Linked DNA regions of Danio rerio. Each later gene encodes a partner of the first gene's protein in a complex. Links are inferred from orthologs where the notes say so. Each region holds a gene or a part of one and is shown in the gene's direction. Other genes may lie near its edges.

Region 1 (3,832 bases):
TATTTAAAAATATATATATATAGGATATAATAAGAATAGATATAGGATATAAATATAAAGGATTAAAATATTACAAACATATTATTTTCTAGCCTACATAAATATGAAAAATCACTGCTTTTATGTCTTCTTCATCTTGAGAGGCTTTTTCAGTTCATTCATAACAATTTGCTTTTGTATAATGTTATTATTATTAGCAGTATTATTTAATATATCCATATTTATATTTGTTTTATTAAAAACAAGCTTAGATTTGCCCACCTGTCAGGTTTTAGACCATATGGGGCACAGCATGTGTTTTAGGATATAACTCAGGTTTTTGAGCACATTTTGTTATTATTGTTCATTTATTTGTTTGCTGAAAATTAGAACTGAATTTAGAAATAGTTTTATTTTAACTTAAGAAAATAAACTCAACCCTTTTAGACCATGCGCCACAGCGCAAAGCAGATTTTCCTGTCCTCAAATTAGCAAAAATGCGTTCTGACCCGCCCTGAAAGCATTTGCGCTCTGCGCATGGACCGTCAAAATAGAGCCCCTAGACTCTAAAATATTAAAATTTATTAAGTATACATTTGATCAAATGTTATAAACTAGAAATATTTTTATTAAATATTTTAAAGAAAAAAAATGTTTTTTTTTTTTTCTTTTTTTTTCAGAATTATTTTTACTTCTTTTCTTACTGAACACCAATGAAAATATTGGAACCCAGTAACCACTGACACCCACAGTAGTGTAAAATACATAAAATGGAGGGAAATGGCTTCTGGTTTTAAACATTCTTCAAAATATCTTCCTATGTGTTAACAGAAGAAAGAAATCTTTTTTTGGAACAAGTGGAGGATGACAGGATTTATCCTTTTGAGAGATCGATCTCTTTAACTGAGCAGTTCAAACCAGTGTCAGCTGGCTTACAAAGTAGTCAGGACGAAATATTAATATTCAATCTGACTGAAATGTTCTTACTCCATCTTTGTTTTCTTTCTTTAGATCTACTTAAGGCAACAGGATAAGACAGCCAGTCTTAATCCAAATGTTCGGGTGGCCAAGATGAGCTTAATCGACCTGGCCGGATCAGAAAGGGCCAGTGCGACCAACACCAAGGGGGCTCGTCTCAGAGAAGGGGCCAACATCAACCGCTCGCTCCTTGCTCTGGGGAATGTCATCAACACGCTCGCCAACCCCAAAGTAGGTCTACACCTTCTGTTAAGTTTAAGGGATTACCCAGATCTTGTTGAAAAGAAATGTTTTATAATTTCACACGTAAACGAGTTGCTAGTATTATTTGCAGTTTGCTTTAAAAGTGTTATTTGCTCAAGCTCTTTAGATTTAAGTGGAATGATCCGATTGGTCGTGAATTTTTTTTATTGTTCATTAGCTGGGAATAAATGTCTTTGCATGGTGTTTAAGTGTTGTTTGGTTTGTTTTTTTGCAAAGTGAGACATACTTGCACATTGTTAAAACAACAATTATCATATGAGCGACAAATGTAATGGAGTGATGAATCATCTTACAATAAGTATTCTATTAGGCTATAGCCCAAACACAACTCTATTGTCCCCATGTGTCATTATCTTAGTTTTCCTAATCTAATATAAAAATTGAGCCTCTGTATATTCACCTTATTGTCAGCTGACGAGCGGGCGCTGCCATTTGAATCTTTTTGTCTCGCGATTTCCGGTCACATTCACTTCCATTCATTTTTTGACGTTAACAACTGCTCGTTACGCTGCTTGATGTTGCAATTTAATATTTTCTTATTATATTATGCTACTTGGTCTGTGTAGTCATGCAAACATTTGTTTGTTGAGGAAGTAGTTTGGCCATTTTCTGCCGTTTATTATTCCTAGTCATTTCTACCATAGGCGACTGAATCGGAAGTTCTAAGACAATCGCGAAAACAGGCGCACTTCCGCATTTTAGAATAAGGTCAATATAAATAAATTCATAGGAAAGTTATTTTGATCCTGCTTCAATTGCTAAAATTGAAAAAAAGCACACATTATTGGAAATATAAAACATTGTAATGATTAACATTGCAACCTCTGTCTGTGCTTATAACCTTTAATATGTTTGCTATTGCATGCTAAAAGACTTATATGGTGTCTTGTGCTTAGTTTTGCACTGTTTCTCAGAGCCCCTTTCCAGTTTGGTGTTTAGGTTTGTACCGCTACAAAGTTTTTATTGTGGCAGGCTGGCAGCATATGTTTAAGACTTAACGATGATGTAGTTTGTTCGCTAATACTATCAGTTGCTTTCCATTCTATCCATTAGTTTATAAAAGAATGAAGTATTTTTAGCTTCATTTAACACTGGGTTAAATGCATACAATAGGTACACAAATTCTGTGTGGGCCTGCCACAAAAGCAATTACCTGCATCTTGCTATGATTTAAACCAATGAATTTAGTCTATCAGCATTACTTATCTTTACTTTAGCCTTTTTTGGTCTTTAGCCAGCCGGGGTCAGCTTGCTGTATACGGTGTTGTGGCACATTTGCTCTTAAGGTATTAGCCTTTCCATCTCTTCTTTGCTTTTGGGAAACACCCAAAGGCTCTGTGGTTCAGGGACTGATGCTATCAGATTGGGAGACCTACAACCCAGACTCTGTTGTGTACACTTACCCCTCTCCTCAGGGCTGCCTTGTGTGTGTGTGTGTGTCTTGTGCTGATTCCAGTATGCCTCCACCAGAGACGCTGTGTGGAATTGTATCCAGATTTTTTGTCTGTGAGCCTGTTTGAGGGTAATTTGCCACCCAATCCTATTATGCCGTGACTGATGTAGAATGAATTCATTCAAAATGGTTGGTAAATCTGCCTTGCAGCATTTGTTTCACCCCACGAGTCATTATAAACATTATTTAATTATTATTGAGTGTTAGGTGGGAATTTGCTACTGCGTAGTCCTTAAACCCTGGCATATTATGCTTTTTTTACATTCATTGGCTATGAAAAAGATTGAATAGAAGCTGATGTGTTTAATTTCTTTGCTATAAATGTCTTTCACGAGCTTAGTTCAGCTGAATAGTGAACCTTCTCAAGGAAACATTCAGGAAATGTTTTTAGTTCGTTTTGAGATTAACATTTTTAATACAGACATGGCTATCAAATTGTAAGTCATTTTTTCTCATATCACACATTCACACTGTAAATAAAGTTTAGTAAATAAATACATCTGTAGTTTAAAAATGTTTGTTTTTTAAAATCTTGTGGCAAAATATTTTTAAAGGTGTTCAAAGTGTTTTAAAATATGCATTTTTATTTGATTGTTGACGTAATCTTAATCGAAACACGTATAGTGGGTGGGACATGTAGCCCCTCCCCTTTTAAAAAACAGCCAATAGCATTTTGTTTCATCACCACTCTGCCAGTAAGAGTGGTTTAGCTCATGTGATTAAATAAAAAGCAAATAAGAATAATTTTGAAGGGGGTGGGGCATGTCAAGTTCTAGTAGGGAGCATTTGATTGGTTATGATTTGATGAGAAACTGAAGTTTGAGATGGCGTGAATAAACTGTTGATCCCTTTAGTTGGAAGTGACAAACTACAAGCTTTACATGTTTCTATCAGTTTGATATTTTCTAAATGGGAATTTTGTCACTGTTTTAAAGTACACAAGCTTATAGATATCTTAAAACTAACTACTCTGATACTAACATCTAAAAAACTTTATTTTAATTTCATGGAACCTTTAAAAAATAATGTGGTACTTTAGACATCTTAATGATAAAAATATAATGTATTATTGCATTATGTTGTAATAACATTTGTACTAGAGCTGTGCGATATGGGGGGAAAATAATCTGCCATTTTTTTGGACAAATATTGTGATTT
Region 2 (3,832 bases), on another chromosome or scaffold:
CCTGCACAATCAAATACAAACTGCCTAATTGGGCAGGAAATTACCCAATCTGGCAACACTGGTGAGGGATGATTTGGGACCTTGCTTAACGTCTGTTGAATTTTCGTTGATATTGTGAGAGTCAGTTACTATTAGCGGAGAATATAGAAATCATAAGTGACATACACTATATCTTCTCTTTCACAAAATTACTAGTGACTAACAAAACAGTAGAAGGTATAAAAATAGTAGTATAAATAGATCAATCAAATCTATGTTTAAAGGGTAGACATGTTGAAGATTAGCTGCTGCAGATCTGAGTAATGGCAGAGCAGTAGCTTTAGCTATTGTGCTGATCTTGGCAAAGGGAGGCAGGTACGTTTTCCAGTGGCTTTGGCTCTATAAACTGAACAAAATGTGCTGAGTGGTTACTAAGACTGAAGCTGATAACCACTATATTAAACACCTTTAATAAAGGAGAAAGGTAAGTCATATTAAAATGGTAATGTGGAAATAATTTTAATAATTAAAAGCAATATACACAATCAAAACAAAAAATAAAACTGTAAGATGTTGTTTGTATCTTTAGATACAATATTTTGTAATATATTGATTTTATGTGAATTTACAGTATTCCATGACTCAGTTTTCTTTTTTTTTTTAATTAATTATCGATATGCCGTAGTTGCTCGTTTCTTATTGGCGTGACAATTAATTCTAACAAAACTAAAGTAAACAGCACTGAATTTTGCATAGATACACAAATTGGAGTACATTTACATTTTTAAAAATAGCTTTTATTACCATGCATATTTATAATTCATATTACAGAGGTTTCTATAATAATGTCTGATTCACTCAACGATATGGGCTGAATGTAGCTGCATGAGCTTTTTGGTCTATTTGTGAATGTATTCATTAAATATTAATATAATACACAATTAGATTTTTTTCCATATAGCTCTTTAAAATTATTTTCCCTAAATTCTGTTATATTTATTTTACCAAATAACAATCATTTAGTACAGAGATGCCCAAAGTTGGCACAAGGTAACCTTTGATTCGGCCCGCCATCCCATCTGAAAAGAGAGGGAGAATGTTGGTGGTTGGGGCGAATGTCCTTGACAGATGTCGTCATTTTGAAATTTAAATTTAAAGTAATCTTTTGTTTCTTAGTTTAATTCCTGAGCTACAAAAAACGCAACTGAAGTTAAATGATTCAATTAAATGTTGTAAATGAATTAGACTTTTAAAAAGTAAATATTGTCACTTGACAAACAGTACATCTGACATCTACGAGCATATCAAAGTAAAGGCAGGTGCAGCTCAACTAGTGTATTCAACATTGAGCTCCATTGTGTTATAAATGGAAATGTTTATGTTTTTACTGTAAATAGCTTATTATAAAATGTTAAAAACAATGCTGCATTAGATATTAAATACAATTCGAATCAACGTTATCTTTTGTTTATATTATCGAATAAATGAGGCAATTCCCCTTGGCAAGTTTAATGTAACACAGGTTGGTATATTTTTAGCTCACAACCCTCAGTCAAGTTTTGTTTTTGACCCTTTATAGGAAAAAGTTTGGGCACCCCTGATTTAGTTTAAACAAAAATTCAATTATAACAATTGAATGTTTTTCCATTTAATACTTTTAATTGTTGTGATTCTACCCTAATTTTCTACAACACAAAAATCACAGGGCACTAATAGCCATTTTTGTCTCTCTATGGGTATCAGTAAATGATATGAGATTTGTGTTTTGTTTGCTTTATGCACATTAGGATGGTCAACCACCCCTGGATCTTCAAGACTTTTTTGTGCCAGAAGGAGAAGAATTATCCCAACAAGAGAAGATTAGAAGGTAACATCCCTCTCTTTAAATATACTCAATAAAATGACTATGAACCAGGAGTATTTTAACCCCACGTTTTCCCCATATGTGCCGAATAGGTTTGAAATGGCATATACGCACACGCTGTATTACCTGGCTCAAGTGTACAAGAATCTGCAGCAGTATGAGAGAGCTGCACAGTACTGTCACAGCACCCTACAGAGACAGCTGGAGTACAAGCAGTTTGCGCCTCTGGAGTGGGCCATTAATGCAGCCACACTGTCACAGTACTACATCACCAAGGTACAATTCATATACAGGTTGATTAAAAGAAGTATTACAGTAATTAGCAATTGTGTGGTCCATTGAGTTTATGTATCTTATTCGCTTCAGATCAGTTTTGTTAACATGCTTACATGGTTAACTATTTCCTGTATAATCTATGTATCTTACTGTAAATTAATTAAAGCAAAAATACCACATTTACTGTTTGTAGACATAGATATATGATATTAGAATTGATGATGGGTCACAGTTTTCTAATATTGACAAATTTAAATTTCTAGGACATTGGCTCGATACTGAACTGTCCTTTATATCCCGTATCGATTTTTTAATTCAAAAGTACAATAATACAAATTAATAATGAAGTTATAGAAAGAGTGTATGCAATTAAGTTTCTTGGTGTTGTATTGGATTATAAAATTTGATGGAAACTGCAAATAAATAATGTGATATCAAAATTAGTAAAAACTGTAGCAATAGTGTATAAAGCAAGATTTATCATGGAAAATAAATCAATGTATATATTATATAACACACTTATGTTGCCATACATGAGTTATTGTGTTGAAATTTGGCAGAATACATATAAATCTAATTTATGATCCATATGTACAATGCAGAAAAAAGTAATTCGACTAATAGAACATGTCGGGTATTTAGAGCATACAAATCCTTTATTTTTTAAATTAAAGATACTTAAGTTCAATGATTTAGTTAAGTTTAAAACAGCACAATTTATGTTTAAAGCTAGGAATAAACTACTTCAGAAATGTATACAAAAGTTTTTTGAAGAACGACAAGGGGGGTATAATCTGAGAGAACTAAATTTTAGGAGGTTGAAAACAAGAACAACTTTAAAAAGTTTGTGTATGTCTGTACGTGGTGTAAAACTATGGAACAGTCTAGATCAGACTCTAAAACAACGTCAGGATATTAATCAATTAAAAAAACTATAAATATATCTTAATAAAGGAATATGATGATGAAGGTTATTGAAAAGGATAAAAAGAGAAAGGTATGATAATTTTAATTAATGGCTATTTGCAATACTATGTTGTTGTTGTTGTTGTTTATTTTTTCTATTTGCAGTACTATGTATTTTTTTCTTTATTTTCTTCTTTGGGTCTATGTTACAAAATGAAAAGGTACAAATGGAATCAAACATATTATTTGTCAAAGATGCCAAATGGATCAAATTTGTTTCATGTACAAAAAAGAGATAGGTAAAAGAATAAATAAGTTTAAGTAATAAACGAATGATGTATGGGGTAATGGGGTGGGAGAATAATAAGCTTATGCTTCATCCCGCTCCATTTTCGACCATGTTGAAATGTATTTCTTTTTGATAATGATATTTTATGTATCATATTTTTAGTTTGAAAATAAATTAATTAAATCAAATAATTTAAAAGTCATTTCAGCTTTTAGGCTCTCTTTATCGTAGTATTAATTGTTTTTTTTTGTTTCAAGTAAGTAAAAAAAATATTTCTCAATTAATTTTCTCTATTATTGATTATGCTGGTATTATTTATAACAATACATCTGATGTTAAATTAAAACCTTTAAATACTCTTCAACTCTTTATGAAGGTTTGTTTTTAGATTAAGATAGATCCTATCATTGAATATTATACAAATCTTTAGCTTGCTTTAACCTAAGTTCCGTTTGTGTACTTCTTAGGGACCCCCTCGAAAATGAGATCATCTCAAGGGGCTATAACTATTTCTAAAC

What was found.
Region 2: the proteins of kif18a (region 1) and kifbp are in contact, whole or in part, in a cryo-EM structure (PDB 7RSI), measured with the Homo sapiens proteins. The link is inferred for Danio rerio from reciprocal best matches to the Homo sapiens genes KIF18A and KIFBP. Residues at the interface, in NP_112494.3 of Homo sapiens: Glu181, Thr183, Gln184, Lys185, Gly186, Arg274, Phe275, Val276, Glu277, Gly278, Thr279, Asn280, Ile281, Arg283, Ser284, Leu285, Leu288, Gly289, Val291, Ile292, Arg314, Lys317, Asp318, Gly322, Asn323; in NP_056449.1 of Homo sapiens: Ser150, Glu151, Tyr212, Tyr213, Gln216, His220, Gln238, Ile251, Asn252, Thr255, Gln258, Asn262, Gly414, Tyr415, Val459, Asp460, Leu461, Asn462, Pro463, Gln464, Leu467.

What each region holds. Positions count from the first base shown.
Region 1 is NC_133182.1:32,059,421-32,063,252, reverse strand, and holds part of kif18a (kinesin-like protein KIF18A), read left to right. Parts: intron 1-990; coding exon 991-1,188; intron 1,189-3,832.
Region 2 is NC_133188.1:26,241,844-26,245,675, reverse strand, and holds part of kifbp (KIF-binding protein), read left to right. Parts: intron 1-1,766; coding exon of another isoform or gene 1,767-1,846; intron 1,847-1,935; coding exon of another isoform or gene 1,936-1,942; coding exon 1,943-2,119; intron 2,120-3,832. UniProt on the Homo sapiens protein: Activator of KIF1B plus-end-directed microtubule motor activity. Required for organization of axonal microtubules, and axonal outgrowth and maintenance during peripheral and central nervous system development.